Linked DNA regions of Tamandua tetradactyla. The protein of the gene in region 1 purifies or fractionates together with the protein of each later gene. This does not show direct contact. Links are inferred from orthologs where the notes say so. Each region holds a gene or a part of one and is shown on either strand. Other genes may lie near its edges.

Region 1 (16,030 bases):
CCTGTGGCCCAAGTACTAATGCTAACTCTGCAGTTTTGGGGCACGCTTTGCAACTCTCAGTTTCACTGGGACGTTTTTGGCTCCAGGCGGGCAGCTGAGGTCACAGCCCTGGAGGGCCCTGGGCTGCGCAGGAGCCTTGGCAGGTACGCCACACGTTCATGTCCCAGTAGCAGGACAGACGGACATCTACCCCAGCCTCTGGCTCCCCAACCCGTCACCAAAACTGCTTATTTTGAGAGGGAGGCTGCTCGCTTATTTAAGAATTCTGTGTGACTGAAAAGACTTTTTCCTAAGGGATATTTGTCACCTAGTGATGAGCAACCAAGCAGATCATTCTGGTTTTTTAAAGGTCAGATAACTCATCAAAGGGTGTGGTGGAGGAATGCCGCCTTTCAGGGTTGGTGGCCGGAAACCCGGCTGCCAATTGCGCAGCCTCTCCTGGGCCTCAACCCAGCAGCCCTCTGCTGCGGAGCTGGGCTCATGGCGATGGCTTAGCAGCCTGGGTGGGTCTGGGCTGACCGTTCTCTTCCAGCTTCGAATTCTACAGATATATCCCACGTCACCTGTGGTTAAGGTTCGGTAAACCCTGCAGGAAAGAAAGGCTGGGTCCACAGGGTGGGGATGGGGTGGGGGTGCAGCGAGTGAGTGTCTCTCCGCCTCACTCGGGTCTGTGCGCCCGACCAGGTGCAGGGCGCACTTTTTGAAAATGGTGGTTCAAATGCTTGAATATCTGGAAAATGTGTAGCAGAATCAGAAACCTTTAACAAGTGGACTCACCCCCTTGCTTGTCCCTGGAATGCTACTGTGGATGCCGGTCGCCAGGTCAACCCAGGTAGAGCCGCAGAGCTCTGGCTGGCCATGATGGGGGATGTTAGGAAGGGGGACAGGGCCTGGGGCTGGGGTCCCCAACTTGGCACCACAGCATGAGCCCTGGGGAACAGCGTGCAGGCCGGGCTCCAGAATGGCCAGTATCTGACTGCAAACTCAGAGCCCCAGCCCTAGCAGGCAGTCTGGGGGCTGCGCAGCCATGAATCATGAGGGGCTCTCGGGGCCTGATGCCACACATCCCTCGGGGTGAGGTCTTTTTGGTCTCCAAGTGGCAGATGGGTCAGGCCAGCTGTGGAGATGAGGGCCACGTGGAGAGAGGGGGCCAGACTTTGTGGGGGGATGTGTGTGACTTGGGGTGATACAGGGATACAGGGAGATGGACCATAGGGCTAGTCCGTGCATCAGAGGACAGAACCCTGGTTAAATGAGAGCCACAGGTGATGGAGGTGGGTCTGCGATGGCAGCAGGGCTTGCAGGGACACTGAGAAGTGGGGACCAGCTGCCGGCTGTCCGTCTGTCCTGGGCGTCCTCTCAGCGCTGTTGGGTGACTCGGCTCAGTGCAGAGAATTTGCCAGGTTGAATGCAGACAAAGGTGTCTACCCTTGAGAAACACAGCATGGCCCAGAAATTGAAGCACAGCGTGCTGGCTGGAGTAACTAGGTGCTTCCCGGTGGGCCCAGGTCTCCGAGGCCTGCTAGCTCTTGCAGGGCAGCAGGGAGGACATGTACGTGCTTGGCCCCTTGCTTGGACTGTGTGCTCCAGGGGTCCACTCCTCAAGCGTGTGGATGAGCTCCAGGCTCTGAGGTGAGCTTGTCAGTGGGTTGTCATCTAGAGGCCAAGGAGATGACAGGCACCCAACCTGGGAGGCATGGAGGTGGGCTGGGAGGGCACAGTGGTGAGCTGCCCCATGTACTGGGTATGGCCAGGCCCTTTGAGGGTGTAGGTGAAGACATTCATACAAGTTTTTTTTTTTTTTTTTTTTAATTTTTTATTGATTGTAAAGAAAATTACAAGAAAGAAACACAAACATTCCCAACACATACACTCAGCAATTCGCAATATCATCACGTAGTTGCATATTCATCATCATGATCATTTTCCAGAACATTTGCATCAATTCAGAAAAAGAAATAAAAAGACAACAGAAAAATAAAACAAAAAAAGAAAAAAAAATTTTTACATACCATACCTCTTACCTCTCCCTTTCATTGATCACTAGCATTTCAAACTAAATTTATTTTAACATTTGTTCCCCCTATTACTTATTTTTATTCCGTATGTTCTACTCATCTGTCGACAAGGTAGATAAAAGGAGCATCAGACACAAGGTTTTCACAATCACACAGTCACATTGTGAAAGCCATATCATTACACAGTCATCATCAAGAAACATGGCTACTGGAACACAGCTCTACATTTTCAGGCACTTCCCTCCAGCCTCTCCATAACATCTTGGTTAACAAGGTGATATCTACTTAATGCATAAGAATAACCTCCAGGACAACCTCTCTGCAGCCATTGACACTTTGTCTCATTTCCCTCTTCCCCTTTTTGGTCGAGAAGATTTTCTCAATCCCTTGATACTGGGTCTCAGCTCATTCTAGAAAGAAACTCTAGAGTTTTTTTCAATCCCTTGATGCTGAATCTCAGCTTATTCTGGGATTTCTGTCCCATGTTGCCAGGAAGATCCACACCCCTGGGAGTCATGTCCCACGTAGACAGGGGGAGGGTGGTAAGTTTGCTTGCTGTGTTGGCTGGAGAGAGAGGCCATGACTCCTTCCACCCTGCGAGGCAGGTCAGATGCCCGCTGGAGTTCCTTGAGCATGCTTATAGCAGGGTAACTGCTGACAGTCTGGTCAAGCGGGACTGTCCCCTGGGCACCCAGGTTCTGTGGCACCTCCCGCCCCTACCCAGATTTTTGAGAACTTCCAGAAGGTTCTCACTTTTCCTTCTTTGCTCACCCCAGTGTCTGACCTGCGTGCCAGCTTTTCTTCGTCTTCATCCCTTACCTTGATGGAGGCCTGGGCATGTGAGGGGGTGCTTCTGTCCTTTTGTGGGAGTTGGGGGCTGCAACCGGGTGGTTGTACCAGGGGCTGGGTCCCACAGTCCGGCTTTTCCCCGCCGACCCGGCAGTACACCCAGGAAGTCGATCACTCATTTCCTGCCTGTTTCTCTTACTCTTTGAGATGTAGCTCTTAAAAATTGGAGTTTTATTTCTTTCTTCAGTTATTTATTTATTTCAGAAATAAATAAATAAATGGGAGCTCCTCAAAATTAAACACTTTTGTGCATCAAAGAACTTCATCAAGAAAGTAGAAAGACAGCCTACACAATGGGAGACAATATTTGGAAACGACATATCAGATAAAGGTCTAGTATCCAGAATTTATAAAGAGATTGTTCAACTCAACAACAAAAAGACAGCCAACCCAATTACAAAATGGGAAAAAGACTTGAACAGACACCTCTCAGAAGAGGAAATACAAATGGCCAAAAGGCACATGAAGAGATGCTCAATGTCCCTGGCCATTAGAGAAATGCAAATCAAAACCACAATGAGATATCATCTCACATCCTCCAGAATGGCCATTATCAACAAAACAAAAAATGACAAGTGCTGGAGAGGATGCGGAGAAAGAGGCATACTTATCCACTGTTGGTGGGAATGTCAAATGGTGCAACCACTGTGGAAGGCAGTTTGGCGGTTCCTCAAAAAACTGAACATAGAATTGCCATACGACCCAGTAATACTATTGCTAGGTATCTACTCAGAGGATTTAAGGGCAAAGACACAAACGGACATTTGCACACCAATGTTTATAGCAGCATTATTTACAATTGCAAAGAGATGGAAACAGCCAAAATGTCCATCAACAGACGAGTGGCTAAACAAACTGTGGTATATACATACGATGGAATATTATGCAGCTTTAAGACAGAATAAACTTATGAAGCATGTAATAACATGGATGGACCTAGAGAACATTATGCTGAGTGAGACTAGCCAAAAACTAAAGGACAAATACTGTATGGTCCCACTGATGTGAACCGACATTAGAGAATAAACTCGGAATATGTCATTGGTAACAGAGACCATCAGGAGTTAGAAACAGGGTAATTGGAGCTGAAGGGATACAGACTGTGCAACAGGATTAGATACAAAAACTCAAAAATGGACAGCACAATACTACCTAATTGTAATGTAATTATGTTAAAATACTGAATGAAGCTGCATCTGAGCTATAGTTTTTTTTGTTTGTTTTTTTATATATATTTTTTGTATTTTTTATTTTTTTTCTCTATATTATCATTTTATTTCTTTTTCTGTTGTCTTGCTACTTCTTTTTCTAAATCGATGCAAATGTACTAAGAAATGATGATCATACATCTATTGATGATATTAAGAATTACTGATTGCATATGTAGAATGGAATGATTTCTAAATGTTGTGTTAGTTAATTTTTTTTTTATTAATAAAAAAAAAAAAGTTAATGGCACGGGCAGGCCATGGTAGTTCAGCAGGCAGAGTTCTCACCTGCCATGCCGGAGACCTGGGTTCACTTCCTGGTGCCTGCCCATGCAAAAAGGAAAAAAAAAAAAAAAAAAAAAGCCAAGGGCTTCACTGGAAACAAAAGCCACGGTAAACACCAAGGTCCAAATGCCCTAGAATACAAGGCCCAAAGCCACATGTCCTGGTCCCATCAAATCCTTTAAATTGTCACCCTTTTCGTTTCATTTGTCAGAGTTCTTTAACTATAAACCAACTGTTGATGTTTTTGAGGGGACTCAATATTTATCACTGTTCTTTGCAGGTTGGACTCAATAAATTGAGAAAAAGGATAAAGATGCAAAGCAATGCATTTGGAGGCAAAAATAGAAACTACTATCCTTAGAGAACATAAGTGGATGAAGTAGGAGAGGGTGTTTGTGTGTTTGTGTGTGTGCAGGTGGGTGTGTGTAGGGGAAGCCATGGTTCAACCACTACTCAGTAAGTGGGGAAGCAGAAACACGAAGGTATCTCCATCCAAAGAGAAATAAAGGAATTGAGGCAGTTAAGCATGTCAAACTTATTCTTCCCAACTTCCAGTGGGGTGGAGCAAGTACACGGGTAGAATAAATGCCAGGAATATTAGAGTAATTGATACCTCAGATTGGGAAGACTATAACAGGAATGTAGTAGAAGCATATAATCTTAATTCAGAGATTTTTTTTTTTTAACATGGGCAGGCACCGGGAATCGAACCCGGGTCCTCTGGCATTGCAGGCAAGCGTTCTTGCCTGCTGAGCCACCATGTCCCACCCAATTCAGAGATTTTTAAGAATTTTTTTTCTTGAGTAGGCATGCTTTTCCCATACTAAGTGCCATTTGTAATAGTTAATCTCCCGTTAGCTTTTTTTTAGCTATAATGAGTAAGAAAGTTATCTGAAGCACAATATGGTAATTGAAAACACCAGAAAAACTGTCACATACAACAATTTTATTTTGAAACAATGCATTCTAAAGTGCCTTGGAATGCTAAGAAATGCATTTTTTTCCTACTGTGTTACTACGTGTGAGTGGAGATAACCGAAGCTTCTTGGAACTGTTCATGACACTTTGGCATAAGGATGGGTTCTCTTGTAAATAGAATCTGGGTATTCTGAGGTGGGAGAGGGGGCAGTGGCTCAGGGGAGTTGCAGCTCTTATGGTGATGTTGGGGGGTTGATGAGTATTGGAGACAGGAGATAAATTGGGTAGGGAAGGTATAAGGGTTTCCATGAAAGAGAATAAACATGATGAATATGAAAAAAAAAATTGGAATTTTAAATAAACGTGCCTTGTGATCTCGAGAGGCTGGAGCGAAGGCTCGGTGCTGCCCATGGGCTCCAAGGTCCCCTAGGGGGCTGAGGGCTGCGCTTGCGTGGCCTGTGGGGAGTCCTTCCCCTCTCAGGAGCCACAGCCCCAGTGCAGCCATTCCTCAACGAAAAGACTGGTTTACCTTCCCGCCCTCGGTAGCTCTGACTCCCAGCACAGAAAGAACTGGAAATTGATTCAGAACAAAGCTGTGTGACGTGCTGCTGCCCGGGGAGGGCTGTGGTTGCGTGGCTGCCTGCGGTTGGCGGAGGAAGTGCTGGGCTGGGATGCCGGGGACAGCTTTCATGGGGAGGCAGAGCCCAGTTTTTTCCTGGAGGGACAGGAAGATGGGGGAGAATAGCTTGACCCAGATAAGGGCACCCGCGTGGTTGCCACTGGAGGTCCAGGCAAATTCTCAGACACGGGGTAGGAATTTGGGGCGCCAGGCAGCGGGGTCTCCTTGGGGAAGCCTTCCTAGGACTCCTACCCCCCGAGCTGGGGGCTCACTGCCGCCCCGGTTCCATGCTGGCTGAGCTGGGGCTGGGGGCTCAGCCCGGGGAGCTTGTGCCCTGGGGACATAAGGGCCCTACACCCACCCCAGTGGGCCCACCCGCACAGAGCTCCCTCTTCATCTGCTCCCTGAGACCACTGCACCTCTCCGGGTCCCAGACTGTCCGGGCACGGGGTCTGTGTTGCGCCCCCTCTGCCCACCTGTGCGCCTGTCCACTCCTTTGGCCTCAGACAGCACTTGGTTTCCATCTGGTGCTGCGAGGTCCGGGAGGCCCCGAGCATCAGCTAGCTGTGCTCATCTCCTCTCTGGTGTTTTGTTTCTGAATCCTCCTGCTTGTTTGGGTAGCTTACATGCGGGACTCCCTCTGAATCATGGAAACAAGGTCCCAGACGTCCGAGGGCTTGGAGGCCCCACAGGGTTGAATGCCCTCCAGTAGTTAATGGTTTCCTTCCCGAGGTGTAACGCGGTGGTCCTTGACTCGTTCCTCTGTTGGAAACCTGTTATGGTTTCTTGTGATTTTCTATTCCATATGCCTTCCCATGAAGTCGTTTCAGTGTTTTCGTTATTAAAAGCCAGGAGCAGAGGAGAAATATCTTGTGACATTTTTTATGAAAAAATTCCCAATTTTTTCCCCCACTGCTTTTATTAATACAAGTTGGTCACATAAGATGATGAACAGTGTTAATTTCCGTTGTTTCCCATGGTGATTTAGATGTGATAGGGTTTGGGGGAAGCTCCTTAGAGTAAATCGGCCCTACCTGAGAAATCGCCCCTAGGTCTCATCTGTGCCAGTCGGTTGGATTTAAGTGAGGTGAAACCATTAGCTTCACTAAGGGGCCTCCCTGGGAGGGGCTGACACCGTGGGACTGGGGGGGGGGGCCTCAGCGCTGCCCTTCACCAGCACGTTACTTGATCTGCCTGAGCCTTGGTTGTTTTCACCTCTAAACGTTATACTTTACTTTGTAGCCACCAGGCTCAGTTAAGAAACACGCAAAAGCACTTTGTAAACTGGGGGGGCGATAAACAGAGGATGGCTCTCTTCACGGACGCAGGCTGTCTGCAGTGCGGTGACAGTTCTCCTTCTGCACCCATGCACCTTCTCAGCTGCCTTGTTTCTACGTTTGCAAGGTTCCGCTTTCTGAAGAGATGTAATTCACTGAGAGCGGGCCCACGTCTGGGTTTTTCCTCAGTGCCACGTGTAGGGAGAGTGCAGAGCTGACCCGTTGAACAGGCCGATGTGGACGGCAGCATCCACCCCCCTGCTGCCACCAGCATCCACAGCGCAGGGTCACGTGGGGCCTGCTGAGCTTATGAAAAGTGAACAAACTTCATCTGTTTGATTGCCCGCAGTCTGAAATTGTTCTCTGGAAACAGCACGTGGGCTGCTTCAGAGCACAATTTACTTTTGTGTCCTCGGTCCCTAGCACACTGCCCAGCACATAAGAGGCACGTGAGCCTGCTTGATGAAGGAAGGAAGTGTTTACAAGTCTGCGGGTGTGTGCTCCGTGAAGTGACAGCCGCCCATCGGAGAGCCCAGAGGCTTCCAGATGCGGTGACTTAGTGCAATAAATAACCTGTTTATTATAGAAAACAGAAAAGTAACTCAAGGACTCCCTGAATTTTCTTGGGTGAGAAATGCAGTGAGGACAGCTGAATACTTTTGTTTCCACTGAATGTTTATTGCTTTTCTTCTACACCACAGTTTGAATTTAAATCATTCCCTGGTTAAATTAATGCTTTAATATTGAATAGGGGGAGGCTACTAGACAGCTTTTGCTGCAAATGAGCCTTATCCTTCTGGGCTTGCCTACCTTGCCTGTAATCCTCACTGTTCCAGCTTTCTAATTTCTCATATGCAAAGAAGGTGAACAGATGTGCAGGTGACAAGTATGATAACCAGCGAGTTACAATAATGCACAGTAAAGGTTAGCGCATTGACTTAATATGGAGACGCTTCTTTGTTGGCAGTGTGATGTTGGTCTGTGCAGAGACGAGGTCACTAAGTCATTTTCTGGGACCAGAGAGACTGCCAGAAGCCACTGGAATGGAGGCCTGCGTGTGCTAAGTGGTTTTCAGGGCAAAGCATGGCAGTTTGCCTTAGCGCTGTGTTGGGAAAGCTTGATTTTCCTGACTTCTTAGGTTGGCAGCATCTCCTTCGTGACTTCATGGTCCACTGCAAGAGGCCCCTGGGTGCCTCTCCCCTCTCACCCCCCTGCCTCATGCTTACAGAATGTTTCCAGGCTCCTCTGTGCGTTGGTGGCCTCACAGACCCTGGGGAACGTGGAGGTTTTCACCCGGAAGGAAGTCCTGGCCTGGGTCGGGGGGACTTGCAGCCCATGGCCTTGACAGTGAGGACAGTGGGGTGGAGGAAGCAGGCAGCACTAAGACGTTCCCGCCGTGCTCCAGGTCTTGGAGGGATGCTCCCAGTGGGACCGTTGGGCAGGAGCCGTGCTGGACCAGGCTCTGAAGGGTTCTTGGGATGGGGAAGAGGTGGGAGGGAAGGCGGGCATTGGTTGTCAAGTCCTTCAGTGTTGGAGCTAGGTGCTGGGAACCACAAACACCGTGAGCTGGATGAGGATGGGGGTGCCTGGAAGCTGAGAACCCTGTCGGATGCTTCTGCCCTAGCCCTTGTGGGGTAAAATGGGGAGCTGAGCTGAGAGGACTGAAAGGGTGTGGGGTGGGGGTAGATGAATTAGAAACGCAGGTGAAATGGTGAGGAAGGGGGAACAGTTGGCTGTGAAGGATGGGGGCGGGTCTTGATGGAGGGTGGGTCTTCCATGTCTTCAAGGAGCCGCAGGCTTGGGGGAGAGATGTTCAGTTGCAGATCTTGAGTTTGAATTGACTGTGAACCTCTCATTTAGCAGGAACTCAGCAAGGGGAAGGGATCTGTAGGTTAAGGATTTACTGATTATGAATGGGGGAAGTGGAGAGGACCACGCTGGGAAAAGCCAGCAACTGGGCAGAGCAAGGGGAGGACCCGGGAGGGAAGAGTCTGAAAAAGAAGGGCCTGGCCAAGGTCACGGGCCCCGAGTGAACCCAGGAAGGTCACAGCGCAGGTGGTGGGAGCCCAGCAGCAGGGGCAGGGGCTGGGTGCGGGGGGCCAGGTCACGCCCTGTGGGGGGATGAGCTCTGGCATGGACGGGGACGGCATTAACGTCTGTGGAGAGGGGAGAAGGAAAGGCACAGGGCCACGGATCATGGAGTGGTAAGAATCATGTGGGAAGAAGGCTGTTCCCCACCCAGCCTCATGGCGGATTGCTGTGGAGTCGCCTCTTCTTCGGGTAATGGGCCGTCTTTTGCTCTTTTGCAGTGCTTGCCCCTCCCGCGCCGCCACCACCCCCCATCCAAGGATATGCCTTCAAGCCTCCACCTAGACCCGACTTTGGGACCTCTGGGAGAACAATCAAATTACAGGCCAATTTCTTCGAAATGGACATTCCAAAAATTGACATCTATCATTATGAATTGGATATCAAGCCAGAGAAGTGCCCAAGAAGAGTCAACAGGTATTCTATTTCGTCCTTTATCAAACTCAATTAATTCATAAATGGGGTAACCTGTAAAAGGGAAATGCAACAGTTTAAACAAATCAACCCTCCAGTTAGCAGATCCTTCTGATTTTTTCCCCAGAAAATTTCAATTGTTTTTATTTATTTTTGTTTAAATGCTTTTTATTGAGATAAAATGTAAGTATAATGAGATGCACACCATGCTTCACCGAATTTGATGAAAGCTTGTCCCCGTTGCTGGCGTTGTCATGCCCTCTTGCGGTCATTCCCCTGCCCCAAAAGTAGGGGTGTTCTGATTTGTATCGCCATAGACTCGTTTCCAGGTCGGCTCCCGAGCCTGGCTTCTTTTGCTCAGAGTGGTGCTCCTCAGATTCCGCCTCATTGCGTCTATAGTGGCTTATCGTTTTTGCTGAGGGACACTTTGTGGCATGAATATTCCCTAATTCATTCGTTTCATCTTCCAGTTAAGGCACACGGGGCCACCTGGGTTTGGGCCGCCCCAGTAGGGCCGCTTGGGCCTCACTGTGCAAACGCCCACCTCTCCCTTGGGTGCAGCCGGCCAGTGCGGCTCTGGGGCCGAGGCATGTGTGGGAGCCGCATGGTCGTCTCCCTGGTGGCCGTCCATGCCCTTGCTCGCACTTGGTGTGGTCACTCTGATCTCTGCCATTTGGGTGGGTGTGTGATGATTTCTCGTGGCTTTAGCTTGCATCTCCTTGAGAACCAGCAAGTTGAGCGGGTGCCTTTTCATGTGCCTGCAGGCCATTCACATCCCATCTTCATAGTATGTGTCCCTTGACATCTTTAGCCTCGTTTTCTGTTGGGTTATTTGCCTTTTTGTTATTGATTTGTAGGAGTTTTTAATATATTCCACGTGCAAGTCTTTATTGGGAATATTTTCTCCCAGTCCAGGACTTGCCATTTCATTTTCTTAATGGTTTCTTTTAATAAGCTGAATTTTTCAAATGTGTCGAAGTCGAATTTATCAATTTATAAGAATAGTTGTGTTTTATGTCCTCTCCTCAAAATCTTTTTCTCCTCAGAGTCACAGAGATACTCTGTTTTCTGAAACTGGAAGAATTGTAGTTTTGGCTTGTATGTTTAAGTAACCTTGAATTAATGTTTTTATATGACATGAGTTAAGGGCCATTGAAAAGATTTCTCATTCCCCGTTCATTTACCTGGGCATCTCTGTTTAAAAAAAAAGAAATGATTGATTATGTACCTGTGGGTCTACTTCTGGACTCTCTATTTTGTTCTCTTAAACAACTTATCTGTATTTAGGCCAGACTCACTGTTTTGATTACTCTAGATTTATGGTAAGGTTTGAAACCAGAGAGATAAGTCCTGCAAATTTGTTATTCTTCTCAATTTTGTTGGCTATTCTCAGTCCTTTGTTTTTTTTCAAATGAATTATACAATCAGCTTGTCAGTTTATACCAGACAACCTTTTGGAATTTTTTCATTGCAATTGCTTTGAATCTATAGACGAATTTGGGGAGAATCATCATTATACTAATCTCTGAACATGGTAGAGCTCTCTGTTTATTTGTCTTAGTTCCTTTTAGCAGGTTTTTTGTAGTTTTCATGGAGGTCCTTTATTAAGCTTATTCTTAACTTTGCTGTGTTCTTTAAGGCTGTTGAAAATAATATTTAAAAATTTAAAAATATTTTTATTGATAAAACAATATACAAACATTCTTAACTTACAAACATTTTGTACGTGGTACACGGTCAGTGGCTCACAGCATCATCACATAGTTGTGTATCCATCCCCATGGTCGTTTTTTGAACACGTTTATTTCCCAGAGGGATGGGATTTGCTAGCTCACGGGCACGGAGTGTCTTCTCCGGGTGGAGGCGATGTTGTAACCTCCCTTCTGGTGATGGCTGCACAACCCTGAGCACAACAAGCCACTTAGCTGTGCTCTCTAAAGATGTCCTTCCCCCAAATTTCCAACCATTCATTGCTAGTAGGAGATATAGATTCAGTGTTTGTGTTTTGACCTTGTATCCTGTGGCTTTGTAAATTGTGCTTTAGCAGAGCTTTTGTTTTTCTTTCTTTCTTTCTTTCTTTTTCCTTTGATAGGTTCCTTCGGGTTTTCCAAGTAAGGCGTCATGTTGTCTGTGAATAAAGGTGACTTTCTTTCTTTCTAGTTGTTTATTCGTTTTATTTCTTTTACTGGCCTTGGAAGTCCAGTACAGTGTTGGATAGAAGTGGTGAAGCAGACTTCCTCGCCTTGTCCCAGTCAGGGAGGAAGCATTCACTCTTTAATCTATGAAGTATGCTAAACTGGGATTTTCACAGAGTCTCCTTATCAGGCTGGGGGAGTTATCTTCCTAATTTGCTGAGAATTATCATTATCATTGGGTGTTCAATTTTGAAAAATGCTTTTTTGCGTCTGTTGAGGTGATTGTATAGTTTCTCTTTTTTTCCTGTTAATGTCAGAGAATTATGTTGATTTTTTTCAGATGTTAAATCAGCCTTAAATTTCTGATATAATCCCATTTAGTCATGGTATATTATTTTTATATATTGCTGGGTTTTATTTGTTAGTATTTTGTTGAGAATATTTGTGTTTGTGTTCCTAAAGAACTTTGTTCTGTAGTTTTCTCGTCAAATTTTGATATCAGGTTATGTGAGAGACATGCTTCTCTCCTTATACTGAAGAAGTGTCAGTGAATTCATTTCTAGTTTTCTTCCTAGGGAGCATTTTAATACACTTTAATTTCTTTAGCAGATATCAAGCTTTTCAGATTTTTCTGATGCTTCTTATATAAGTTTTGATAGTTTGTGCTTTTCAGGGAATATGTTTATTTCATCTAAGTTTTTTAGTTTATTGGCAGGAAGTTGTTCATAATACTGTTTTACTATCTCCACGTCCTCTGGTGAAAGACCTATTTCATTCTTGATATTTTTACTTTGTATTTTCCCTTTCTGTTCTTTTCTCGATTAGTTTTGCTATGGGTTTGTCAGTTATATTCATCTTTACACAGAGCCAAGCTTTACTTGTTGAATTTTCTCTTTGTTGATTTTTCTCTGATTTTCTCTTCTGATCTATATTTTCTTTCTTATACTCACTTTGAGTTTAGATGATTGATTTAAAATCTTACCATTATTTAAGCACTATTTTAGCTTAACCTACACATTTCGATACATTGCATTTTAATTTCCATTCAGTTCAAAATGTTTTCTCATTTCCGTTGTGATTTCTTCTTTAACCATGGGTTATTTAAAAGTGTTATATTCAGTTTCTCACTGTGGGGATTTTTTTTTAATACTCTTTGCCATTGACTTCTAATTTAATTTCTTTATGACCAGAGAACGTTCTGTAAAATTTCAGTCTTTTGAAATTCACAGGGGCACATTTTGTTGCTAACCATGCGATTTATCTTGGTGAATGTTCCCCTTGCACCAGAACACAATTTATATCCTGGATTGACTCTGGATATCAATGTTTATTAGTTTGGGTTGTTTGAGAGTATATTCTAGTCCTCTGTATCTTTCCTGATTATTTTCTCTAAGTATGAGGTGAATTTGTCTGCTTCTTTGTTTAGCACTGTCTGCTTTTGTTTCCTGTATTTTGAAGTACTTTATTAAGCACATGCTCAGTTATGATTATGTCTTCCTTTCATCATTCGGAAATGTCCTTCTTTATATTTGGTAATTCTTCTTGTGGTAAAGCTTTATTTTTGTCTGATTAATATAGGCTTGTGATCTTTCTTATTGTTACTGTTCGACTGATACATCTTTTTCCGTGGTTTTATTTTCAGCCTTTCTTATGTATATGTTTGTAGTTCATGTCTCACTTGTAGACTGTTATGTAATTGGGCCTTTTAATTGGAGTGTTTGGTTCATTTAAATTTAATATAATTATCAGTGGTTGACTTTAAGTTTGCCACCTTGTTATTTGTTTTCTAATTCTTCAACTGTTTTTTATTCTTGTTTTTTCCCTAGTGAAGTCATCAGACTTTTTTTAGTATTCAATTTTATTTATTCTCCTAGCTTTTAGGTTTACCTCTTCATACTTTTTAAATAATTGCTCTACATATTTCTGCAGGCATCTTTATTTTATTTTACCATAGTCTACTTAGAATTAATAATGTAACTTCATACAAAATGTAAGAATTTATAAAGCATAATTTATGTGTCCTTTTGCTATTATCATGTAGTTTACTTCTATATGTTATACACCCCATAGCACAATATTATTATTTTTGCTCTTAAAAATTAAAATGGTTCTGTTTATCCACATATTAGCCATATCTAGTGTTCTTTATTTCTTCCTGTTAACCAGTTTTCATCTGACATTAATTATCTTTGTCCTGAAAAAAGTCTTTTAGCCTTTCTTGTTCATGTCTGTGATGAACTCTCCCAATATTTGAAAAAAATCTGCAGATGTCTGTATTTCACCCTGATTTTCTTTTTGGCATGGGCAGACTCCAGGAATCGAACCCGGGTCTCCAGCATGGCAGGCAGGAATTCTGCCACTGAGTCACCATTGCACCACCCTCACCCTGGTTTTTGAAAGATAGTTTAGCTGGATATAGAATTTTGTATTGGCACCTTTTTTCCGCCCTCAACACCTTAAAAATGTCATTACAGAATCTGAATATTACTATAAATGAGCTAGACTTAACAGACATTTATAGGACATTACATCCCAAAACAGCAGGATACACCTTTTTCTCAAGTGCTCATGGATCATTCTCAAAGATAGACCATATGCTGGGTCACAAAGCAAGTCTTAACAAATTTAAAAAGATTGAAATCATACACAACACTTTCTCGGATCATAAAGGAATGAAGTTGGAAATCAATAATAGGCGGAGGGCCAGAAAATTCACAAATACGTGGAGGCTCAACAACACACTCTTAAACAACGAGTGGGTCAAAGAAGAAATTGCAAGAGAAATTAGTAAATACCTCAAGGCGAATGAAAATGAAAACACAACATATCAAAACCTATGGGATGCAGCAAAGGCAGTGCTAAGGGAAATTTATTGCCCTAAATGCCTATATCAGAAAAGAAGAAAAGGCAAAAATGCAGGAATTAACTGTCCACTTGGAAGAACTGGAGAAAGAACAGCAAACTAATCCCAAAGCAAGCAAAAGTTAAGAAATAACAAAGATTAGAGCAGAAATAAATGAAATTGAAAACATGAAAACAATAGAGAAAATCAATAAGACCAGAAGTTGGTTCTATGAGAAAATCAATAAGATTGATGGGCCCTTAGCAAGATTGACAAAAAGAAGAAGAGAGAGGATGCAAATAAATAAGATCAGAAATGGAAGAGGAGACATAACTACTGACCTCACAGAAATAAAGGAGGTAATGACAGGATACTATGAACAACTTTATGCTAATAAATACAACAACTTAGATGAAATGGACGGGTTCCTGGAAAGACATGAACAACCAACTTTGACTCAAGAAGAAATAGATGACCTCAACAAACCAATCACAAGTAAAGAAATTGAATTAGTCATTCAAAAGCTCCCTAAAAAGAAAAGTCCAGGACCAGACGGCTTCACATGTGAATTCTATCAAACATTCCAGAAAGAATTAGTACCAACTCTCCTCAAACTCTTCAAAAAAATCGAAGTGGAGGGAAAACTACCTAATTCATTCTATGAAGCCAACATCACCCTCATACCAAAACCAGGCAAAGATATTACAAAAAAAGAAAACTACAGACCAATCTCTCTAATGAATATAGATGCAAAAATCCTCAATAAAATTCTAGCAAATCGTATCCAACAACACATTAAAAGAATTATACATCATGACCAAGTAGGATTCATCCCAGGTATGCAAGGATGGTTCAACATTAGAAAATCAATTAATGTAATACACCATATCAACAAATCAAAGCAGAAAAATCACATGATCATCTCAATTGATGCAGAGAAGGCATTTGACAAGATTCAACATCCTTTCCTGTTGAAAACACTTCAAAAGATAGGAATACAAGGGAACTTCCTTAAAATGATAGAGGGAATATATGAAAAACCCACAGCTAATATCATCCTCAATGGGGAAAAATTGAAAACTTTCCCCCTAAGATCAGGAACAAGACAAGGATGTCCACTATCACCACTATTATTCAACATTGTGTTGGAGGTTCTAACCAAAGCAATTAGACAAGAAAAAGAAATACAAGGCATCAAAATTGGAAAGGAAGAAGTAAAACTATCACTGTTTGCAGATGATATGATACTATACGTCGAAAACCCGGAAAAATCCACAACAAAACTACTAGAGCTAATAAATGAGTACAGCAAAGTAGCAGGTTACAAGATCAACATTCAAAAATCTGTAGCATTTCTATACACTAGTAATGAACAAG
Region 2 (16,069 bases), about 32 Mb from region 1:
ATAAAATAATGATAAATCAGTTTTTTGGGACACAATGCATAAACATGTAATTTGTGACAAGAACTACATAAAGGTATGGAGTTAGAGGAATATAGGAACATAGTCTGTGTATACCATTGGAGTTACTAGGTTGATATTTAAGCAGAATATGTAAGATTATAGAGTACAGTTTACCAGGCACAGTAGACAGAGGGAATTGGGAGTTAAAACGTTATGGTTATAGGGTTTCTGTCTGAGGAGATGGGAAAGTTTCAGTAATGGAAGGTGGTAAGGTTACCAGATACTATGAATGTGATTAATACTACTGAATGGTATGCTTTGGAGTCATTGATATGTTGTATACATGTTCCTTCAATTTAAAAAGAAAGAAAGAGCAGCGAAGGAGACAATGACAGTTAAATACAATACATGATCCTAGTTAGGATCTAGTAAGTGGGGGAGGGGGACTCTCAAAGAAACATTGGCATTCTCTGTATGGGATTTCTATTATTTTCGTAACTGTCTTGTAAGTTTGAAAGTATTTTAAAATAAAAAGGTTTATTTTTAGGTGTTCTATTGTTTTTAAAAGTACGTAGTTTTAGTGTTTGGGATGCTGTTTTGATATAACTGGCAAATATATGTTTTCTCATGTTTGGACATTTTGAATTCTTCACCTCAGTGAATTATATGTTTAATTTGCAGTATTGAAATATTTTATGTTGGTGCATTCTTCAGTAAACTAACATATAGCAACTTTGCTGTCCATCTTCTTTTCTTACTAATCTTTTATTATCCCTTTCCAAAGATTTAGAAATTATTCATTTGAATGTTGGTGATTATGTAGACCTCTGAGCACATTTCTTATTGAGTATAGTAAGATTCAACAGATTATTTATTTTTAAAATGAGATCATACAGTATTTGCTCTTTTGTTTCTGGCTTATTTTGCCTCACCAAATGCCCCACAGATTCATTCACATCGTTGCATGCCTCACAACTTCATTCCTTTTTGTAGCAGCACCTTCCAGTATATGTTTACACCATCGTTCGCCAGTCTGCTTCTCAGTCAGTGCATCTTTCAGCCACTTCTATTTACTAGGCCTCATGTGTAATGTCCAAGGTCAGCAGTCCATCACAACAAGTTATTTTTTTTGTTTGTTTATTTATTTATTTTAAAAAATTAACAACAAACAAAAACATTAACATATCATCATTCCATTCTACATATATAATCAGTAATTCTCAATATCATCACATATTCATCATTTCTTAGAAGATTTGCATCAATTCAGAAAAAGAAATAAAAAGACAACAGAAAAAGAAATAAAACGAAAACAGAAAAAAAAGATTATACATACCATACCCCTTACCCCTCACTTTCATTGATCACTAGCATTTCAAACTAAATTTATTTTAACATTTGTTCCCCCTGTTATGTATTTTTATTCCATATGTTCTACTCATCTGTTGACAAGGTAGATAAAAGGAGCATCAAACACAAGGTTTTCACAATCACACAGTCACATTGTGACAGCTATATCATTATTCAGTCATGATCAAGAAACATGGCTACTGGAACACAGCTCTACATTTTCAGGCAGTTCCCTCCAGCCTCTCCATTACATCTTGACTAACAAGGTGATATCTACTTAATACGTAAGAATAACCTCCAGGATAACCTCTCAACTCTGTTTGGAATCTCTCAGCCGTTGACACTTGGTCTCATTTCACTCTTCCCCGTTTTGGTCAAGAAGGTTTTCTCAATCCCTTGATGCTGAGTCTCAGCTCATTCTAGGGTTTTTCTCAATCCCTTAATGCTGAGTCTCAGCTCATTCCAGGATTTCTGTCCCACGTTGCCAGGAAGGTCCACACCCCTGGGAGTCATGTCCCAAGTAGACAGGTGAGTCTGCTTGTTGTGTTGGCTGGAGAGAGAGGCCACATCTGAGCCACAAAAGAGGCTTTCTTGGGGGTTACTCTTAGGCCTAAATTTTAAGTAGACTTGACCTGTCCTTTGTGGGGTTAAGTTTCATATGAACAAACCCCAAGACTGGGGGCTCAGCCTATAGCCTTGGCCGTCCACACTACTTGTGAGAATATCAAGAATTCAACTTGGGGAAGTTGAATTTCTCCCTGTTCTCACCATTCCCCGAAGGGGACTTTGCAAATACTTTTCCACTCACTGATCGAATCACTCTGGGATTCATCGGGGCATCACTCTCGACAAACCAACAAAATCTCTTGTCCTACCCAAGATTCCAAGTACTTATGGTGTTCAATCAAGCTGTCTACATAAGTTATATTAGGAAATGCACTAGTCAAAATATAAATTTTGTACCAAATAAACATTTTTTGCTTTAGTCTCACACATAAGTTGAAATTTTAAAATATTAATTATCATCTGTTTTCAGCACCCTGCAGTAATGACATTCCTTTGTTCTTCCTCATGTACAAATATTTTTAAAATTTGTACATCTAGTCACTATTATTATACACTCTCGGCATTCCTAGATTATAGCATCTCAATCTTTATCGTCTATATTTCACAACTAGTTATTTTTAACAACTAGAATTCTAATAAGTTTGTTGCCAGTTTTCCTGAAAACCTCAAATACTTCATATTTTTAAATGGAGTAAAATTTTAATAGTTATTTTTTGTTAATACTAGAATATGTACATATTAAAGTCATAGCTAGATTAAAATAAATAAATAAAAAATCAAATAGTACTAGGGTTGTATACAAATGAAGTGAAAAGTCTTGCCCTATCTCTGAGTACCATTGCCCAGAGGCAGCCATTTTCAACTGTTTCTTCTGGTATTGTTTCTAAATTTTATATATATTTATATAACATATAAATATATAATATTGTAATTTTCTGATTTTCATTTGCAAATATCATCTGTTCTTGCTGAGGTAGATGAGTGTTCTTTCAATTATTTCTCCAATCTAGTTAGTTGCTCCTTTCCTTGTGGTCTGATATCACTTTGTTCACAGCTCTGATTTTGAAACATGCTCAAAATCATTGTTTCCACATCTTAGCCCACAGCTATTCTACACAGCTTTCAAAGCCTCAGACTGTGTCTCTGCTCCTGCACCTGCACTCAGCACAATATCCACTCATGACAGAAATTTTGTCTTCTTAAGGTAGTTGCTTTTTGACTGAATGACTGAGTAAATGGAAACCAGACAGCTATTGGACAAGAAGTTTTAAGAGACTTCATTTCCAAGCCTCTGTCTCCTTTACAAGCCCTTCTTTACTATCAACCTTATGTGATAATAGATAAAAGGACTCTTCTGGGAACCAAAAAATATTATGAAGATATCTTTTTGAACTAAGAGGTCTAAAACTAACCAAAAAGTACAGTAGTTCCAGACTCAATTGCTAAAACATCAAATAGCTTTTCATATTTGGCCTTATTATGAGACTAAGTTTCATGACTACTAAAGACTCTTGAGAGCCTGTCCTGACACTAAGACTGGCAGCACTTTCTATTCTGTGGCCTGGCATGCTTAGTCAGTCTACCTCACTTCCTTGCTGCAGGTTTTGCCCTTTACTTTGCAAAGTGAAAATCCATCAGCAGTTGCTCAATATTCACCAACATCTCCTGTCAAATTGGAGTATTGTTACTCTACACTAGATGAATACTCTTGAAATATTTTATTGATTGTGAATAGTGCAATCAGGTATAAAGTGGGCTGTGTGTTTTGTTTAAAGACTTAGAATTAATGTATATTTCAATTCTTTCCTTTTTTTTTTTTTTAGGCGATGGATGCAGATAAAAGTGATGAGTGGTTTGCTAAACAAAATAAACCAAAGGCTTCAGGTTAACAGAAGACATCATTTAGAACCAGTGTTTATGATTCTCCACCTGTTGCATCCATTCATGATAATACTCTTAAAACTTGGTTGTTTACTATTCAGGCAAAGAGGCTGGGGGATGAAGATTTGTGTATTCCAGTCTTTGAAATTCTGATATATTTTATCTATGAAATCCTATTAGAAGTCCAAGGAGAGGGAGAACTCCTACTGTACTGTCACTGGAACGACATATTCTGAGTACAGCTCTATTACATCAGTAACAAATTATTTTCCAGAGGTGGAACAGCTGTATGGGAATTTACCCTTGATTGGGGATAGAATTTTGATATGTTGTGAATAATATATAGTTTATGAAAGCAACTATTCAAATAAAGCTAAATCAGTTGCTTATAACAATAATACTTCTAGCTCCTGATGATGAATCATTCTAATGTCTTATTCTGGCAGGTCTTGACATATAAAAATTTTAAAGGATATTGTTTCTTGGACCAAAAGATTTGGTTATTTGACAGCCCATTTTTCTTGCTTTTAAATTTTGAGTAGCCAGACACAACAGACAAAGGATCTAATATCTTGAGTGTTGCTACATGCCTGACTCTGTGTGCTAGTTTATGTAATTTTCTCTTTTAATCCTCTCTAGAAGAGAACATTGTGTTAGATTCCTTAAAAATGAATTAGTCATTAGCCTGAAAAATATTTTTAAATTTTTTTGTAGTTTTCTATTTAGTTCTAGAGAAAAAGTAGATTTTAATCACTAGAAACAATAATATTGGATATATCCCCCCATCCCCACCCCCCCCTTTTTTTTTTTACTGTATGCTGTTGTATTAGTCTGTAAGACTTGTTATTTAAAATGGTGACCAGGTTCAAATTTTGGGGAAGAAACTGAGGAGATTGGAAAGGGATTGACCCAGAAGATACTAATTCCAAAATAACATAAAATTACCTGTAAATCTTAGCTTCAGCTGTTCTCCCATCCTGGCAGGGTGGGTTAAGGACATTTCTGAGTGAGTTTCAGCTCACCTTATGGGGCTAATCTTATTTTCACTGAGGGAAAAGAATCCTTGTCTAGTTCCATACACTTCTCATTCAACTTAAATTGAAATTCTGTATCTTAGAGAAGGAATCATGAACTTCAAAGCAAACCAAAGTTATCTGTGTTCCTCCTCTCGATAAATGATAATTGGCTCATTTTTTTTCTATACATGGTGAAATTATAAATTTTGAATAATCAGAGAAACTTTTGTCTCTGCTAAACCATTTGTGAATTCTCAGATTTTATATTAGATTATTAAGTCTTGATGTTTATCTCTAGTAATACTCTCCTTGTGAAAAGAAACTAATTTTTCCAGTATACTAGTTCTGCTATATGATGTGACCTTTTAAATTTGTTATAGTAAAATAATTGTTTTATGTAAGTACTGAATGACTAAGCAATCCATACTAAATTCCTTTTTATCTGCTTATCTTTTTTGTTAACATACCAAATTCTTTTCTATTAAACGTATAGCCATGCATGATAGAGGGTGCCATCTGTGCTAGAAGTCAGTGCCCTTAATCTACCTGGGACATCTTGGTTTTATGTCTATCAGCCCCTTTTTCTTTATCTCGTTGCCTATCAGTTTTCCTCTTATTGGAATCTTTCTTTTTATTCTTCCTAAAACCATTTAGTGTACTTTGGACTTTTACCAATGAGCCCAAAATTTTGCTTCTGTACAGTTCAGCTATATTTTTAAAAAATTTTAAATTATGTATTTAAATGATTTTAAAGCAGAAGTTATTCCCCATATCTGGGAATGATGTGATTAATTAGAAAACAGTGTTGTAATAAGAAACGTGGTTTTGCTCTGGCTGATGTTTTGAACAGATGATTGGAAAGCTCTTTAGTTTCTCCAGAGTTAGGTTTTCAGGGTAGTAATTTTTATTTGAATTGAGGAGTTTGAATTCCTAGCATATTAAGCATACATTCAAAAATATTTTGAATTTAAATCCAGAGAGATTTAGAATGGCCTATTGTAGAAGTTCTCCTCCTAGGTAAACCTGCATAGTAGCTGTATGAAATCCACGTCTGCCTGACATCTCAGTGGAAGCAGCAAAGCCATGGACATTCAGTCCTCCTTTGTGTGACGCTTCCTACCCATCTCCCCTGTCACATAGTGCCATTGTGGCTTAGTTGCCAGAGTTTTCACGAGGGTTTCAACTTAATCCACTAAAATTGATGGTAAGAATTACTGGGAAATCTCCTATTTACTTTAAGATTTTTTATCCTTAGCCGTGATAAATCAATAGGACGTTTACTCTTTAAAAAGAATTGTCCTTGCCTTAGACCTTATTAGGTAATAGTCATGTGGTTTAGAATTAAAAATTTAAAAAAAGTATACAGTGAAAAGTCTTGCTTCTACCCCTGCTCCTATAGATAACCACTTATTAAGCAATGATTTTCTCCATTTTTCCCACAAAATTTAGCACACTATATTCACTATACCTTTTTTTATGTAATGATATATCCTGGAGATCTTTCCTCTCAGTACATAGAGAACTTTCTCTATGGAAATTAATATGCCATAGTTTACATAATCCTTTCTTCTAATGGAAGCTTGGAATGTTTCCAGCCTTGTTCCAAACAAAGATACAATGAGTAACTATAGACCTCTTTATCCTTACATCTCATTGTGCTTTTCACATTAAAACTTTATGCTTCAAAATTGCTTTCTTACACACAATATTAGAATAGAGGCCACTGCTTTTCATTCTAGACTCAAATATCCAACTCATTTCTTAAATTCCTCATCTGTGGATGTAATTCTAGAAACATCCTAGAATTATTTTCAGTGTCTTCTCATTTATGATAACTTTATAAATTATCCTGAGGTACTAGTTAATCTGATGAAAATCAGAATCCCATTTCTTTTCTGTTTGAGTGAATACCGTTGAAAGGGTTTGAGTTAGTCAACAGTTGCTATCCAGAGGAGCAGTGATATGAGCTGCTTAGAGGGAGGTGAGGGGAACAAATCCATTCTAATTTTTTGGCTTTTTTTTTTTTAAACAGGTCATTTTTGTTGTTTTTAGAAGGTAATGAGAAGAGGGTAAGTCGAGGACTTAGATTCCTGAGATGAGAATGGAGGTATGGGCTAGTTTACCTTTTTTTTTAAGGCACTCATTTTTATGTAGAAACTATGAGTGCTTTCTGCAGTCCTAATTAGGGCAAGTTTTTACTTTTATCAGATTTTATAATGATTTACAGAATGGTATGGCTATACCTAGAGCTCTCAAATTGACACCATTATTTTGGAGCAAGGGGCTTAAGACACCATTATTCATACCACATGACTCCTGGCCTTAAGAACATCAAAATGTGTTCATGATATCCCCAGAGAAGAGAGACTAACACTGCTCTTTTGTGGTGTGGCTCTTGTCTGGTTTATAAGATGTAAGGGTTACTTTAGCCATAGTAGTCTCCAGGGTATACTTCATTCTTAAAGAATTAGTGGATTTCATCTATAGCAACTTCCTGCCAATACATGGACAAAAGACCCTGGAGGTAATGAGATTTGGTTTCATTTGTCCACTTAAGTCTGTGGTTGTTGCTTCTATATTTAATGAACTGGAGTTCACTTAATGTCATGATCTATGAAAATAGTTTTTTAATTGAAAAGTACTGGGAAATCCCATGCTACAGCAGACCTGTTTCTCTGAAATGTCTTTAATACCATTTAGCTCTCCATATCTCAGCCACACAGTATGTGCACTGATAGTTCCATGATGGCACTAAAGAGTAGTTGCTGAGCTCAAGCACTTTGGCCCTTGCAAACCTGTATGAGAGGTGTGTTGTGCTCCTAAAAAACCCACAAACACATACATGTATCCCCACAAACATCCCCAAGCAGGTTATGGAGTAGTCCCAAGAAAATGTTGGTTACCAGCCCTTAGTGATGCTTTCAGAGGCTAGAATTTTGAAACCATCTGCTCCAGTGTTTCTCAGTTGCCTTACTGTGATGCATCAATTATATCACCACATTGTCACTAAAAGTTTGGCTTTCCTCACAGTGTTAACATCATTGGGTCTGTGTCCCAGTGGGGACGATTGCTAGTAGGGGTTCAACACTAGCATTTTGGAGGACAGGATACCTTTCCCCTCTGTTGTGTTGGTAAGGAACCGACAACCCATGGAGATATTAAGGGCCTGTGACCTCCTGAGAGGCTGAGCCACTGGAGAATGACTTCACTGGTCTCCGGTATAGATCGCACAATTCTTCCCCCACCCCTCTACATTCACCAAATATCTACATTTGCTCTGAGAATAGGAAGGCTGGAGACTTCAGTTATACTTAGAATCATACAGAAAGCCAGTTCTGTATGATTTTTTAAAAATAGCTTTTGGACTCTGGGCACTCTGACGGTCACTTTGAGTTTACCTCCTGCCCAACTGCAGATAATCAGTCCCATGAAGTTTAAGTAATTTATTGGTGTCTTAGCTAAAGTTGGTGTGATTTCAGGACATTTCAGTCCTCAAGGTCTTTTAAGAAGCCCTTTCCCTACCAGAGAAGCCATGTTGCTTCCTTCCATTCACTGATCTGTCCTTAACCAGCCTCGTTTTTTTTCAGCTCTTCCACCTTGGCAATATAGATCCGCATGGCATCCATCTTGGACATTCCCTTGTTCTCATTCCATGCCTCCCACTTGGCCTTGGCTCTTATATCTGAGGAGGGAGGGGCAGGGATGTTGCAGTCTCCCTGGGTGGCCTGTTTGTAGTAGCTGTACACCAACAGTTTCTCCTTATCGCTCACTGGACCCTTCAGCTCCTTGACAGCTGCACAGGCCAGCTCAAACTCCAATTGACACATGAGGGTAGCTGTCCTTACTAGCTGGGAGCCAGTGGTAGGAACTACAGTGGAGAATTTGAAACACTTGAGACTGATGATTAGATCTGGGAAGAAGGGAAAGGGAGACGGGGTAGGGCGACAACCCAGGATACTTGTATGAGTGTTCTCAGTGAGAAATCAAATTTGCTTTATAAAGGGAAAACTGCAAACTGGAGGTTAATTGGTGTTGAATCTGTCTCACAGTGTTAGGTTGTGTGTCCCCGTGCGCGTGTGTTGGCTAGCATAGTATTTTGGGGGGGGGGGGGTTTGTGGAGGGGGCTGCTTATTAAATGTTCCAAAGTGTCTGTGATGCCCTAGAATTAGTGAGTGCTGCTGTATGAGGGAGGCGGTGTGGGATGAGATGCACTGGGCGGTGGTCTGTGGGGCTGGGCGGCTCAGAATGTGATTGCGAGGCCCGCTGCAGGTAGGAAGGATCTCAGAGTGTGGCGTGTTTGTGTGGGACAGTTGGTAGCCTGGGGAGGGGCATTCGGATTCCGGCGATCAGTGGGTAGGATGAGTGTGAGTCCAGGGCAGAGACGGGGCTATTGGGTAAGAACCGACTGGAGCTCACGAAGCAGAAATGGGCAGGGGAGTGGATAGATAGGTATCTTGGGTGGCAAGGGTAGGGCTGCGCTGGGGCGTGGGTCCCAAATCATAATAGGTTCAGAGGCGGGGCTCACAGCGGAGAGGAGGGCGGTGCGGGTACCGGTTCGTCAGCTGGTCGGAGGCTTGCGCCGACAGGGGTCGCTGTGTACTCGGAGGGCTCGTTGGTGAGACCCGCGCATGCGCGCGGGGCGGCGGGCGGTCAACGGCAGTCGGCGCGGGAGCGGGCGCTGGGGCTTGTGGGCGGGACCGGGTGGCGGCCTATTGTACCGCCCCCCCCCGCTCCGCCCATTGTGCCGTGGCGCCTGCGCCGCGCCCGAGGCCGCTGAGGGGGAGGGGTGCCCGCGCCGCCGCCAGCTTCGCCGCCATGGACCTAGGTGGGTGTCAGGGCTCTCTGGTCCCGGGCCCGCAACGGGCAATCAGAGAGGCGCTGTCCGGCCCGCCAGCCGCCTCCGTGCACGCTCGCGCGGGCCCGGGCTGAAGGAGACCTCCGGGTCGGGGAAGGGCTTGGGGAGGTGGGGGTGTCCTTGGAGACCGGCTTTGGCCCGGGCTCTGCCGCTCCTTTGCCGGCCTCTTTCCCTCTCGGGACCCGCGACCACGTTGAAAGGCCAAGCGGATGTGAGATTAGATTTCCTGGAAGTGGAAGGGATTAGTGCACGTGCTTTGGAAAATGCCAGGCTCGGAAGACGCCCCGAGGGACTCGTTTATTGAACGCCTGTTACATTCTTTTGACAAGTTTCTTACCCAGTCGATTAGGTTTCCTCGTCGATAAAATGGGGATGATGATAATATACCTACCTCACAGAGTTTGGGGGGAGGGAATTTAATCGAGACCTCATGTATACAGTGTCTGGTACAGTACTTTACACACAGCAAGCGCTGGTCCAACCAGCAGTTGTGCCGGAAGGGCTCCAGCGGTTGAGGTGCTAGTTTTTGACCCCACGTGTTTCTTGTTTCAGAATCCTTATAGTCTGGGAAAAGGAAGAAGGAGCGGATGCAAATAAGTGGCTCCTTTCCCCCACCGCCCACGCTGCTGAACATGCTTCTGGGGGGATAGGACCAGGAAGGAGGCTGTTCTGGGAGAGCTGGGAGTGAGGCACCCCATGTGTGCCAGTACGTGTAGGCTGGAGAGATATGTTCCGGTCCCTGTCCCCAGCCAGCCTCGCAGTGGTGGAATAGTAGAGGGTGAAGGGTTCGGAGGTCTGCAGCTGTGCAGGTTTCTTTCCCAGTCCCACCACTATGTAGTTGTAAAACTGAGCAAATTGTTTCTGAGCCTCAACCTTCCCACTTCTTAAACGGGAATAATAGTCCCCCAAAAAGGCAGTTTTGAAGATTAAAAAAGTCTTATATGTGTAGCACCTAGCACAGTGTCTGGCACAGAGTAAGCACTTAAAGGTGGGGGAGTCGGGGGGGGGTGGAGTGGGGAGGGCACCCATAAGTACCAATTAACCAGTTGTGATAAAGCACTTGATCAGCATTCCTGTGCACCCAAGGGGCAGCCCATTTATGAGGCTGATCCATCGTGGCTCACTGTGGCAGCCTCCGACTCCCAGGATGTGCTACACTGCTGAGGGGGGCTCACTTCCAGCAGCACATGTACATGCTGTTGTCTCTGAAAGGTACCTGTTGGGAGCCACACAGCTGCTAGAATAAAATTAAACTTACACAGCCAAAGGAAATGTAGTTTGGGGACCCTGACAGAGCAGCCTAAGCCAGAAAGCCCCCTCAGCAGTGTAGCGCACCCTGGGAGTGTGAGCCTGCCACAGTGAGCCACGATGGATCGGCCTCGTAAGTGGGTTGCCCCTTGAGTGCACAGGAATGCTGATCCCTTGGCCTTACACTGCTCCCATGAAAAAAGCAGGATAGTCTTAATTCTCCTGGAATCAGGGTTCTCTGTGCTGACTGGTGAAAATGGGGAAGATGTGCTCTTGACAGGAGGGACTGCGGAAGTTGATGGCATCTCTGAGCCCTGGGAAAGGGAGCGGAATCAGGAATATTGAATAAAAAAGCAAGTTTTGTGCTCTAATTTAAGTTTCTGGGCCAAAGGAAGCATACCTATTAAAGACCTAGGTCCTATGTTTCTGAACTGGGGAAGGGGAAGACTAATGACACGGTTCTGGTTCTGCCAACAATGGAAAGATTTGGAGAAACCAACATTCACTGAACACTTAATCAGACTCTTTGTAGTGTCTTTCTTACTGTAGCTATACCTTATTTAACTCTCACAATACACCTAGGAGATGGAATCAGAAGCTCTCAGTGAGCACCAAGCCAGTGCTAGGGCTTGGTTAGTATATTTCATTTGATCCTCACAGTCATGGTATGAAACTTATATATAACCTCACGTATGCAAAAAGGGGGCTCAGAGAAGTAATCTGCCCGAGATCACATTGCTTTTAAGTGCCTGAGCTAGAATTTGAACCCATGTCTGATTAAAAGTCTCAAGATACCTTCCTTGATAAGTGTAAATTCGTGGCTCACTGAAGGAAGGACTTTTCTTTCTTAATCTAGTGTGGTATTTTTTGTGTCTACCTTGTGGTTTCCACTAGAGAACCAGGTCCCTGAGTCGCTTGGTCTAAACTGGAAGAAGCTGTGGGGCAAACTGTTTCTCTGAAAAGCTTAAGAATGTCTGGAACTTGTTTGCAAAGCCAGACTCTAAGGGAGAAGGGAAAAGGGCATGCGTGCCAACTGCCTTCATGTGCATCATTACTTAGGAGCTCAATTGCCGTGTTCCACGCTCTGTACCTATTCCTCGCGGCCCCAGTAGTTGGGTACTGTTCTGCCGTTTCACCGTGCCTCCCTTTGCTGCGGAGTCTAGCCTCCACGAGTCCACCTTTTCCTTTCATAATCTTTTCCCCGAAACATCTCATCCACTTCCTTGATTTTGGTGACCCTCTGGGCCGACAGTTTCCAGAATCACATCTTAGTACTGACTCTCTTCCTGAGCTTCAAGCTTGCATCGCCAGAGAACGTCGCTACCTTAATGTTTTACCTCAGATTCCAAATAACCAAAACCAAGCTTGTCTTCCCTCCACACCTGTTCTGATTCTCCTTGTATCCCTCTCTCTAATGGTACCCATCTTCCTGCCAGTTCCCAGGCTGGAGAGCTTAGGAGTCATTTTTTTATCCCTCAGCTAAGTCCTCTTGACTCCAGCTCTGTAGTAGCTCTGGTAGCCACCCCCTCCTTTCCCTCTCCCACCGATCTCATTGACAACTCTTAACATCTTGAACTCTGATAATACCAGCTCACCTCCTGCTGTCTCTCCCTATAACTTCTGCTTACTATTTTGAAATGTTTTTACATCCTACCTTATTCGGCTTCTCTCTGTACAGGACCCTTAAACATCTGTGAAGAAATGACTATCCTGCATGGAGGCTTCTTGCTGGCCGAGCAGCTATTCCACCCAAAAGTGCTGGCAGACTTGACAAAGTCCGACTGGGAACACGTTGGGCAGCCCATTGTGGAGGCATTAAGGGAGATCTCCTCGATCTCAGCACACTCCCAGCCCTTTGCCTGGAAGAAGAAAGCTCTGATCATCATCTGGGCCAAAGTTCTTCAGCCTTATCCAGTTTCACCTTCTGACACCGAAACTTGGTGGCAGGAAGATGTATTCTTCTCAGTAGGCAACATGATCCCCACCATCAATCACACAATCCTTTTTGAGCTGCTCAAGTCCTTGGAAGCTTCTGGACTCTTTATCCAGCTCCTGATGGCTCTACCTACCATCATCTGCCGTGCAGAACTAGAGCGCTTTTTGGAGCACATGACTGTTGACACTTCTTCAAAGGACGTGGCCTTCTTCCTTAATGTCTGGTGGGAAATGATGAAGCACAAGGGCAATCAGCAGGACCCCCTGCTCTCCCAGTTTCGAACAATGGCCCATAGGTATTTGTCCTCTTTAGATGAGTTCTCCCACCCTCCAAAGAGGTTTAAGTCAGACCCAGATGTGTGTCCTACCATGCCTCTGTTGGCCATGCTGCTCAACGGGCTGAAGCAAATCCAAAATAATATCCAGTGCCCTGGAATGAAGTGTTGCGCATTAGCCAACTTGGCTGACATGCTGACGGTATTTGCACTGGTGGAGGACGACCCCCAGGAAGTGTCTGCGACTGTGTATCTAGACAAACTGGCCTCAGTGATCTCTGTATGGAATTCAGACACCCAGAACCCATACCACCAACAGGCGCTGGCAGAGAAGGTAAAGGAAGCAGAGCGAGACGTCAGCTTGACCTCACTGGCCAAGCTCCCAAGTGAGACACTTTTCATTGGCTTTGAGTACATGCACAACCTGCTGCAGGAATGGGGGGATGAGCTGCAGGCTATGCTCAATAGCAGCCAGGGGACAAATTACGATAGCTACCGGCTGTGCGACAGCCTAACTTCCTTCAGCCAGAACTTGAAGCTCTACCTGGACACCATCAACCTACCCAAGGAGGAGAGGCAGGTGGTCTCTGAGATGGCAGAGTGTGTCAAGGACTTCCTAAGGAAAACCAACAGTGTGCTGAAGACCAAGGGCTTTGAGAAGGACATCACCGCTTCGATCGCCATGGCCATTATTGAGCAGAAGATGGACCGTCATATGGAAATGTGCTATATTTTTGCTTCTGAGAAGAAGTGGGCCTTCTCAGATGAGTGGCTAGCCTGTCTGGTTAATAACAGGTCTCTCTTCCAAGAACCAGGATTGGTGCTAAAGCTGCTGGAAACGGTGATGGAGGTCAGTACATCTGACAGAGCCATCCCCGAATCACAGATCAAACAAGTAGTAGGCTTAATCCTGGAATGCTATGGAGACCTCTCACTGCCAGACAAAAATAAAGTTCTCTCAGGTGTCCTGCTTTCCTGGGGGCGAAAGGGCCTCTCTGAGAAGTTGCTGGTTTACTTAGAAGGTTTTCCAGAAGACCTCAATACAACTTTTAACCAGCTCACTCAGAGTGCCTCTGAGCAGGGCTTGGCTAAAGCCGTGGCTTCTGTGGCCCGCCTGGTAATACTGCACCCGGAAATCACAGTTAAGAAAATGTGCAGTATGGCTGTGATCACTCTTGGCACCCACAAGTTCCTGGCTCAGATTCTCACTGCCTTCCCCGCCCTCAGGTTCACAGAAGAGCAGGGTCCGTATCCACCCACCACTTTTGTGGTATCATGCCTCAAAGAAACTGTCTGGGGAAAGTTCTCTACACCCAAGGAAGAAAAGCAGTTTTTGGAGTTCCTGAGCTGTCTGATGAGTCCTGTGAAGCCCCAAGGGATTCCAGTTGCTGCTCTTCTTGAGCCAGAGGAGGTGCTAAAGGAATTTGTCCTGCCTTTCTTGATGCTAGACGTTGACGTGGTAGACCTCAGTTTGAAGATCTTCATCCAAACTCTAGAAGCTAATGCATGCTTGGAGGACTACTGGCTCCAGACCTGTTCCCCATTTCCCCTCATTTTCAGCTTGTGCCAACTCCTGGATAGCTACAGCAAATACTGGCAGCTCCCCAAGGAAAAGCGGTGCCTCTCTCTGGATGGGAAAGATCTAGTGATCCACATTCTAGAGCTGCTCTGTGAGATTGTATTGGCTAATGCTGAGACCTTCCCCCCAGATACCTGGACCAAGTCCCTGTCCTGGCTCCACCGGAAGGTGGAGCAGCTAGACTGGACTGTGGGCCTGAGACTGAAGAATTTCTTTGAGGGCCACTTTAAGTGTGAAGTGCCAGCCACACTTTTTGAGATCTGTAAGCTCTCTGAAGACGAGTGGACCTCCCAGGCCCACCCAGGGTATGGACCAGGCACAGGGCTTCTTGCCTGGATGGAGTGCTGCTGTATCTCCAGCACCATCTGTGAACAGATGCTCTCCCTCTTGGTGGTAGATCTGGGCAATCCTGAAGAGGTTAGATTGTTCAGTAAGGGCTTTCTGGTGGCCCTGGTGCAAGTCATGCCTTGGTGCAGCTCTCAGGAGTGGCAGTACCTTCACCAGTTGACCAGGAGACTGCTGGAGAAACAGCTCCTACATGTTCCTTACAGCCTAGAATACATTCAGTTTGTTCCCCTGCTCAACCTGAAGCCCTTTGCCCAGGAGCTGCAGCTCTCTGTACTCTTCCTGAGAGCCTTCCAGTTCCTCTGCAGCCAGAGCTGTCGTAATTGGCTTCCCTTAGAAGGCTGGGGTCATGTGGTCAAACTTCTGTGTGGCAGTCTGACCAATCTCCTGGACTCACTTAGGTTGATACAGTCCATGGGCCCTTGGGCCCAAGGGCAGGAGCAGGATCTGACCCAGGAAACCCTGTTTGTCTATACCCAGATGTTCTGTCATGTTCTGCACATCATGGCCATGCTCCACCAAGAGGTGTGTGAGCCACTCTATGTTGTAGCCTTGGAGATCCTGACTTGCTATGAAACCCTGAGCAAGACCAATACTTCTGTTAGCTCCTTGCTCCAGAAGGTAAATGAGCAGCGCTTCTTAAAGTCCATTGCAGAGAACATTAGCCCTGAGGAGCGGCGCCAGACCCTGCTTCAGAAGATCAGCAACTTCTGACATTTTGACTATCAGAAAAAAGCTGGGCCTCAATATGGTAAGCCTGAAGGGACCAGAGCTGAGAAGCACAAACCTCACCATTTTGTGAAACTGTACACAAGATATGATTATATGGCAAAAACAGTGTAAAGAAAATAGTTTCTTAGGTATTTGTACTGTACAGATTATAAAATTATCTTCTTTGGAGTCTCGTCTGAGTCTCACTTCATCAGTGATCCAGGTCTTAGATACTCTGAAGCTGGACTCAAATAAAATCTTAAAGGTCAAGTTAGGCTGGGAGAAGCATTTTCATAACTGAACTTTT

The links.
Region 2: the proteins of AGO2 (region 1) and GEMIN4 purify together in Homo sapiens (affinity purification with western blotting; 4 studies listed by BioGRID and IntAct, with this or other methods). This does not show direct contact. The link is inferred for Tamandua tetradactyla from reciprocal best matches to the Homo sapiens genes AGO2 and GEMIN4.

The regions. Positions count from the first base shown.
Region 1 is NC_135332.1:86,914,314-86,930,343, forward strand, and holds the start of AGO2 (protein argonaute-2), read left to right. Parts: upstream 1-7,656; 5' UTR 7,657-8,257; coding exon 8,258-8,579; intron 8,580-8,696; exon of another isoform or gene 8,697-8,808; intron 8,809-9,483; coding exon 9,484-9,679; intron 9,680-16,030.
Region 2 is NC_135332.1:54,513,334-54,529,402, forward strand, and holds GEMIN4 (gem-associated protein 4), read left to right. Parts: upstream 1-9,515; 5' UTR 9,516-9,629; coding exon 9,630-9,639; intron 9,640-9,858; exon of another isoform or gene 9,859-9,880; intron 9,881-12,595; coding exon 12,596-15,765; 3' UTR 15,766-15,951; downstream 15,952-16,069. Other genes in the region: GLOD4 (glyoxalase domain-containing protein 4), read left to right, coding at 3,741-3,806. UniProt on the Homo sapiens protein: The SMN complex catalyzes the assembly of small nuclear ribonucleoproteins (snRNPs), the building blocks of the spliceosome, and thereby plays an important role in the splicing of cellular pre-mRNAs.